2 linked regions of the Canis lupus familiaris genome follow. The protein of the gene in region 1 purifies or fractionates together with the protein of each later gene. This does not show direct contact. Links are inferred from orthologs where the notes say so. Each region holds a gene or a part of one and is shown in the gene's direction. Other genes may lie near its edges.

Region 1 (4,270 bases):
GGATCTTTGTCCTCCATCTCAGAACTAACTCCCCAGTGCCCAGCACAGGGCCTGGCCCCAGAAGGTGCTCAGTAAGGACTGGATGAACCTGGAGATGTGTATCCTCCTGGGTCTCCTGGTCCTAGCTCCCTGACTGCCCCCAGGTCTAGGGAGGGTTCAGGTCTTTCCTGCCTAGGGCGGGGTTGGGGGATGGGGGTGGGGGGAGTGAGGGGGGGGTCCCTCCTGCACCCAGGGTGCCTCCACAGCCTCCAGCCATTGCTTGCATGCCACCTCCTGGGGTGGCCTCCAGACGGCCCACCACCTTGTTTCCGGCCCAACCCTGCTCAAGGGGTAATTACCTAGGTCCCCCCACCCCCAACGCGCCCTCTGGACTCCCTGCACCCTGGCCTCCAGCGCGACTTTCCCCACCGTGGGGGGTGGGGGGGGGGGGCGGGGACAGACCCTCAACAGCCTTCTTTGTGTGGGGAGGGGAGGAGAACACGCAGGGTGCACCCCATGAGCGCTGTTCTCCCTGGAAGCACCAGGGGCCAGAGGTGACCCGGTGGGGCCAGGGGTCAGCGCTGCACTGGGGACCCCCTCGCCGGACTCCAGGAGGTGTGTGACCCCACACGAGCCATCCCGCCTCCGAGCTCCCCATCTGCTGCCCAGCGCAGTGGAAACCCAGGTTCCCAGCCCCGGGGTCGTGGAGGCGCCGGCGTAGGTGCCGCAGGTGAGGTGCTCGCCGGGCCCAGCTCGCCGCGGGGTCCCCGGCCCGCAGGCCCCGCGCAAACAAAGGCTGTGGGCCGGGGGAGGCGGCGCCAGCTCCGGCCGCGGCGGGGGAGGGGGGAGGGACCCTCGCGCCAGGACCCGTTCGGCCGGCCCCTCCTCGGGCGTGAGTGCCGCGACGCCCGGCGTCCCCGGCTGTGGGCTCGGCGCCGGGGCTGGGAAGGCTTCCCGGAGGCGGGGGCCCCGGCGGCGCGGGAGGGACGCTGTGCGGCGCCTTTAAGAGCCGGTGCCCGGGCGAGGGGCGGAGGGCAGAGGGCGGAGGGCGGAGGCCCGCTCGCCCCCCCCCCCCCCCGCCCCGCTCCTGCCCCCCGCGGCCGCCGCCTCTGATCTGCACCCGCGGCCGGGCTCCGGCTGACGTCACCTGCCCTGGAGCTGCGCGCGCTGATTGGCTGCAGGTGACGTCAGGGCCTTTTTCGCTCGGCATGACCTCATCCCCGCCGGCAGCCCCGCCCTCCGCCCCGGGCCTGTCACTCGCGGCCGAGCGCGGCGGCCCAGCCGGCTCCGCGCCCCCCGCCCGGACGCCGGAGCCCGAGCCGCGCCGGAGCCGCACCGGCCGCGCCCGCCGAGCCCGGGGTGGGATGCGCGCCGCGAGCGCGCGTGCCCGCCCGCAGTGCGCGCGCCCCGGCCCGAGCGAGCGCTCCCCGCGGCGGCGGCGGCGACGGCGGCGACGGCGACGAGGCCCGCGCGCTCCCCCGGCCCCTGCCCCGGCTGCGCGGGCCCCCGCCGGGCCCATGGGCGGCGCCGGTCCCCGTGCGCCCCGGACGCGAGCAGCGGCGAGGTGAGCGGGGGCGCCGAGCGGGGGCGCGGGGACACGCGGGGCGCGGGCGGGGAGCCGGTCCGGTGGGCGCAACGGCGGGAGCGCTGGGGCGGCTGCACCCGGCGGGCGCCCGGGAAGAGGCGGCGGCGGCGGCGGCGGCGGCGGGCCGGAGGGAAGAGGCCCGGTTCAGGGGGACGCGGCGGGCCGGCCCGGGAAGCCCTTCCCCCGCCTCCCACGGCGCCCAGCGGACCCCCGGCCCGGTCCGCGCTGCCCCCGCCAACCCCCGCTTCGCCGCCTTTCTCCTCGAAATTCTTTCTTATTTTGTGGGGGGAAGGGCATGCAGTAAGCACCCCGGACCTGGGCCCTCTGCGCAGACCTGTACGGACCTCAGCCTAGAGCCCCAGACTTCCCAGGCTGCCCCCCACCGCACCAGGGAGGCCCCAGATCGGACGGTCGTTCCTGCCCCCGCAGGGTAGGGATGCAGGCCCTGACCAAAGGAGCGGAGGGTTTGGGCCTGTGGGAGGCTTAGGAAAGGGCCCATTCCGAGCTCGGTGGGGAGGAGCTGCAGACCCCTGTCCCCTGTGTGTTCAGGCCGCCACCGGTACCCCCACCTCAGGGTGCTCAGCTGGCCTCTGCAGAATAAAGACCATCCGCCAGCCTGCTGCAGAGGCAGCAGCGGGTGCTGGGGGAGGGGCTGGCACTGCCAGGCTGAGTGCAAGCAGCCTGCCTCAGCCTATCTGCCCACCTTGGTGGGGAGGGGTACCCCAGTGTCTGGCCTTGAAGGGAGGGGGCCACAATGGGCCCAGCTCCCATCAGGTCACCGCGACTGGGAGAATTTGCCTCCTGACTTCCCACTGCAAAAATGGACTGGCTTCTGCAGGGGGGAGTTGGGGGCCTGGGTGCTTCAGTGATTGCGGGGTGCAAGGGGCAGTCCATGCGGCAGAGGAGAGAAGTGGCAGGGTCTACGGTGATGCCCAAAGTGTCATGGTGCAGCCTGGGGTGGAGGTGGGGGTGCTGCAGATCAGGGGAGCAGCATTCTGCTGTGCCCCCTGCCCCTGGGAGTCTGAGCGGAGGTCTGTGGGTCCAGACACTGCCCTCTGCCTCCCTCAGACCTTCTTGCTGGGAGGGCAGCTCAGGAAATGAGTGTAGCATCCAGTACACCCCCCCCCCCCCACCTCCTGCTCAGGGAGGACAGATGTCCCAGGAATTCACTCCTCAGATGCTTAATAAGCACCTGCCCGGTAGGACAGATCATGTGACTAGGAGCTGGGAGTTCATCCTGAATACCTCCTGCTGCAGTCAGCCAAGGGCTCCGGGAGAGCTGCTGGGCAGGTTCTAGTTCCCAACAACCCCCACCCCGTTCCCCCCCTGCTGCCCTCAGCCCTTGGGAGGGCTCCTGTGCCCCCGAGGCTGCCTCCAGGAACGAAGGCTTCCATGCAATGGATGCAGAAGGATGCTTGAAGGCATCCTCTGCTCCAGAAACCTACCCAGCATCCTCTCCTCTCCAGCTGAGGCTGACCTTGGAGCCCAGATGTTTCTGCTGCACGGACAGAGGGCCCAAGGGGCCTTGGAAGCCAGGGGGTATCCTGGCTGCATCTCCAGAGGGTGCAGCTCAGAGGGAAAGCAGATGAAGGAGCCAAACCATGGCAAGAGGGACATGGGTCAGACTCTGACCACCAGAACTGCACAGGCTGAGTCCACTTCTGCCTGGACCGCTCCAGGCAATGACCATAGATATCCCGGAATGGCCCACATGTGTAGCATGGGGGGACAGTGACCAGAGTCCTGCAGGTCAGTAGGGCTAGCACAAGCCAGGCAGGAACAGAGGAAACCTAGATCTGTAGGGTCCTGAGGGACCCACACGCTGAGACCTACTGCAAGCTCTACCCAGACCCCTGTGAACTGAGGGGGCAGGGCCCCACCCCATTGTCTCCCAGGCCCATGGCCTCCACACCAAGTCAGCCCTACTTGGCCTTGCTATCAGTCCCTCTGGGACCAGGTAAAGGCCAACTTGGGTCCTGTTCCCTGCAGCCCAGGGAGATGAGGGGGCAGGAGTGAGAGCATCTAGGGGTCCCTGATGAAAGCAGAGGAGGGGAAAAATGAGCTGAGTGGGTGAGAGCTATCTACCAGCCTATCTCCTGGCTTCATTGTGCAGCAGTTTTTGACTCCAGAGGTACCCCTGGGTCACAGTGAGCTGGACATCGCAGCATAGTGGGGGCCCCCTGCCAGCTCTTCTCGAGGGTCTACCTATGAGTGCCAGGCACCACTCGGGCTGGAGACACCAAGGCCCACCCATGGCTGACAGTCCTGACCGTTGTCTCTGGAGGTAGTGAGTTCCCCGTCAGTAGGTGCTGAGCAGAAGGCCTTGGTGAAGATGCTATCCATTGGGAGTTTTTAGGCCACGCATGTCCCTTGCTCAGGGACAAAGATGTGCCCCATGGAGGCCCTGAGAGCCAACAATGTAGAGAGATCGTGGGGCTGGCCCCTGGGGTTTGAGTGTCCTGGGATTTGAGGGGATTTGGCCCCCAGAGGGTGAGGATGAGTGCACCCAGTGGCCACATGTACCAGCACACATGTCTGCCTTGTGAGTAGTTGCATGAGGGGATGGGGTGGCTTGTGGGAAAGAGGTGAGCAGACAGGGTTCAGACAGGGTGCAGAAGGGCATGTCACAGCACAGGCTGCCCTGTGTATGTGGCCTTGCAGGGCAAGGGGAGCTGCTTGCCGCCTGCTGGGTGGTGCCCAGCCTGG
Region 2 (4,131 bases), on another chromosome or scaffold:
ATTATGTTGATTACATATGTAAGTTCCATTGTATTGCCAGTGCTAGCACAGTGCCAGGTACAGAATGGGCATGTGATAATTGTTTATTGTAGAAATAAAGGAAGAAAGGAAAAAAGGCTGAGAGAGCAAGGAAACGGGGAGAGAATGTACAAATGATTGTTCACATTTATATTTCATTTCAGAATCACTGGAAACAGGCCAACTCAACAGGACAAGGGAAGATAGTATTCCTGGATTCAGTCATTTACTCAACAATATTCATGTGTTCATTATTAAAGTAATGTAATTTTCTTTTTTTTTTAATTTTTATTTATTTATGATAGTCACAGAGAGAGAGAGGGAGGCAGAGACATAGGCAGAGGGAGAAGCAGGCTCCATGCACCGGGAGCCCGATGTGGGATTCGATCCCGGGTCTCCAGGATCGCGCCCTGGGCCAAAGGCAGGCGCCAAACCGCTGCGCCACCCAGGGATCCCCTAATCTGGCAAATTTCTTTTCAGGTTTTTTCCATGTATGCATAATACATAGGTAGGATCATTATATAGAGACCTGCTTCTTTGTTTTCATGATACATCGTGAACATTTTCCTGTATTGTTAAGAATTCCTTGAACACCTGGCATTTAAATTGCTAAGCTACATTCTATTGGATGGATGGATGTAATTTAGACGCCCTTCCACCCATTGTTGGATATTTAACGGCTTGCCAATTCGTCACTCCTGCAACTAACGAATACACGCTTTGCGGGAGCTCAGAGATAAATAAGGTGATGAATTAAATCTAGCACGAGCTGGATTTGGGGAAAACAGGAGGCAGCTTCTTCCAGGTGGCTGAAAGGAACAATCACTCGCCGTAGGTGACGAGGCCCTGAAAGGAACGTGCTGTCGGTCAAGGTAAGCCCCGTTCTGTGTCTCGGGTGTGTGCCCGGCCCAGGGCCTGCTCCCGGGCGCCCGGCCTCAGGGCAGGCACCTCGCCTCCGGCTCCCACTAGGGGACGCCCCGGGCCGGGAGCCGCACGTGCCGCGCGCAGGGCCCCGCCCCCACCGGCCCCGGACACGCCCCTCGCGCCCGGTCCCGGCGCGCCCCCCGCAGCTCCGCCTCCAGGCGACCTCCGCGCGGCCTCCCGCTCCCGGAGGGGCCCCGCCCCCGCCCCGCCCCCGCATCCGGGCCCCGGGGCCGCCCCGCCCCGCCCGCCCCGCCCCGCCCCGCCCCGCGGGCCGCCTGCGAGGCGCGGGGGCGGGCCCGGCGCGATGACGTGGGCGGGCGTGCGCGGTGACGGCCCGCGTTCCTGTTACTCAGCGGAGCGGCCGGGGCCGGACGACGGGGCCGGGTGCGCGGAGCCGCCCTGGGTAACGGCCGTGGCGACCGCCCGGACGGCGCCAGTCCCGCGGGCGGGCTTCCCAGTCGCCGTGCGCTGCGTTGCGGGGTGAGTGCGGCGGCTGCCGCGGGGCCCGGGCGCCGGCGGCCCCGCCGTGTTTATGTTATTGTGCCGCCGCCGCCGCCGCCGCCGCCGCCGCCGCCGCCTTCTCCGCGGCCGGGACCCCCTCCCGGGAGTGGGGGCGGGAGCGCGGCGGCTCGGGGCGCGCGGCGGGCGGGCGGGGGCGGGGCGGGGCGGGGGCGGCGCGGGAACAATGGCGGGCGCGGAGGCGGGGCGGCCGGGGGCGTGGGGCTGCCGGACCCCGGCCCGCGCGCCCGCCCCGCCCCACAGCCCCGCGCGCTGCCCTCGCGGATGCCGCGTCCGCGTCGGGAGGGAACGTGGGGCGGGCGCTGGGCGGCGGGTCCTGAGGCGATTCGGGGAAGGTCGGGCGGAGGCGCCTGACTCGCTCCCGCGGCCGCCGAGTCCCGACGCCCGCCCTCGCGCACGGGCTCTCTTTGTGCCGAGGCTGCGGGCGGAGGCGCCGTCAGCCCTGGGCTGCGGGGTCCGCGGGGCCGGGCCGGGGTCGGCGTGCGCGAGCGCGGCCTCCCCTCGGGGGTCGCCGGTGCGGACCTTCCGGCCCTCCCCGCCCCCTCCCCTTTGTCTTGCACTCGTGTTCCCAAGGCTCAGACGGTGGAGCCGAGTCGGTCGTAGAGGATCGCGACGAACGCCTGCCGCGCGGGTGTCTGAGGGTGCGTAGCCGCGGGCCGACTACGGGCATCGGGGTTGCGGGGTCACTGTTTCTACCTCTGAGATTCAGGAGCCGCCTCGGTAGGATTCCGGCCTGTCAGGCCGTTGTGCTTTGGGATGAGCATCCGGCAGGTATCTGGGCCGGTGGAACATGTGTTTATTTCATTCATTCATTGAGCAGCTGTTCAGCACTGTACTCAGAGTTTGAAGCGAAGAGAAATACTTTTTTGATGGAGGAGGATGCTTTGAAATGTAATGGATGTCTTTTTAAATGAGTTATGTAAGCAGTGTGCGTTAAAGGTGTCGTTATACTCTGGGTCATTTATTTTTTTGGTTTTGGGTTTTTTTTCTTTTTTCTTTTAGTACAGTTAGGAGGTTGATCTAAACGTACAATGGCTTTCTTTATTTACAAATTTAACTTTTCAGTTTTAACAGCCTTACAGTCTTAAAAGTCATTTGTAATGTTTATCTCAGATTTCCCTGCTGTGGGTTAAACCTAGGAGATCACATGCTGTAAGGGAACATGCTCAGTGCTGTGCCTGACAAAAGCAAGCAATCAAAATGGGATTTCCTTGAGGACAGGCCTGTCTTTCATCTGTGTCTCCAGCCCTAGCCTGGAATATAGTAAGTGTTCAATAAGAGCTTGATGAAAAACTCTTCACGGTTAATACTATTTAAAATCCAGTCTTTACAGTTCTTTACAGTTCTCTGCAAACTCACTTTCAGTGGGCTAAGTGATTCGTTCATTTGTACTATCTGTCACCGCATCAGGGGCTTTTGAATATTTTAGTTTTTTTTTTCCTAGCACTTCTAATTCATTATCCTAAAATAAAATATTGTCTAAAATGCTTTTGTTGTTTTTGTCTTTTTTTTTTCTTAGTATGTGTATCACACACAGACATAGTGATATTACAGCAGGGGTCTAAAATGATTGAATTTGTCCTTTTTTGAACATTGCTTGAAAAGTTTCTGATGACGCCTGTAAGGGGAAAAGCTAGAGTATGGGAAATAAGCTACATGAAAGTTTTATTTGAAATGTTTAATTTCTAATTGCATTTGTAGAAATGTTTAATTTAAAATTCTACCTTGGTGAAGCATTTGGGCCTAACTGAATTTAAGATTTTACTATTGGAGAAGCATATGGGCCTGAAACTCCAAATAATACTGATTTATTCAAGTTACATCGTTTTTCCACTCACAGTTTAATAAATTTTAGCATGTTTTGGATATGAGAGAATTTGAAATGAGCTTATAGTATTGCCTGATGCAGAGAACAAATTAAAAGGAAATACTTCATTAAGATAAGGAATGAAAATCATGAGATACCAAACTTTTATTGATTTGTCTAGTTACAGTATGTCAGATTTCAGAAAGTGTTACTGATACAATCCTTTGGTGGTAGCTCACTGTAAGGCTACATGTCAATCCAGTTTTTTGTGTTTTTGAAATTCTTTTGGTTTTTAAAAATAACAATTTTATTGAGATACAAATGACATACCATAAAATTCACCCGTTTAGAGTGTGCATCAGTATGGGTTTTAAATATATTCAGAGTTCTGCGTTGATTGCTACTATGCAATTCCAGTACATTTTCATCACCCCAAGAAAAACTACGTACCCATTAGCAGTTACTCCCCTTTCCACTCTAAATTATGTTTATTTTATTTTATTTTTTAAAGATTTTATTTATTTATTCATGAGAGACACAGAGAGAGGGGCAGAGACACAGGCAGAGGGAGGAGAAGCAGGCTCCATGCAGGGAGCCCGATGTGGGACTTGGTCCCCGGACTCCGGGATCAGGCCCTGAGCTGAAGGCAGACGCTCAACTGCTGAGCCACACAGGCGTCCCCTAAGTTATGTTTAAAAAGAGATATCACTGATTCTTTTGGTGAGTATATTCCATTAATGAATTTGAAATGGGCTGTCTTTAAGTGTCCTGACAGAGTAGGAAACTATATTCTTATTATACTCCTTTAGATCCTGAGAGAACGGCCACTTGGAAAGGAAATTTAAGAATAAACTCCATCCAAA

What was found. Proteins that work in one complex are often made in the same cells at the same time.
Region 2: the proteins of DUSP8 (region 1) and MAPK8 purify together in Homo sapiens (affinity purification with mass spectrometry; 3 studies listed by BioGRID and IntAct, counting the BioPlex papers as one, with this or other methods). This does not show direct contact. The link is inferred for Canis lupus familiaris from reciprocal best matches to the Homo sapiens genes DUSP8 and MAPK8.

The regions. Positions count from the first base shown.
Region 1 is NC_049239.1:46,262,065-46,266,334, reverse strand, and holds the start of DUSP8 (dual specificity protein phosphatase 8), read left to right. Parts: upstream 1-1,457; 5' UTR 1,458-1,543; intron 1,544-1,797; exon of another isoform or gene 1,798-1,994; intron 1,995-4,270. UniProt on the Homo sapiens protein: Has phosphatase activity with synthetic phosphatase substrates and negatively regulates mitogen-activated protein kinase activity, presumably by catalysing their dephosphorylation.
Region 2 is NC_049249.1:431,493-435,623, forward strand, and holds the start of MAPK8 (mitogen-activated protein kinase 8), read left to right. Parts: upstream 1-1,273; 5' UTR 1,274-1,422; intron 1,423-2,028; exon of another isoform or gene 2,029-2,102; intron 2,103-2,574; exon of another isoform or gene 2,575-2,724; intron 2,725-4,131. UniProt on the Homo sapiens protein: Serine/threonine-protein kinase involved in various processes such as cell proliferation, differentiation, migration, transformation and programmed cell death.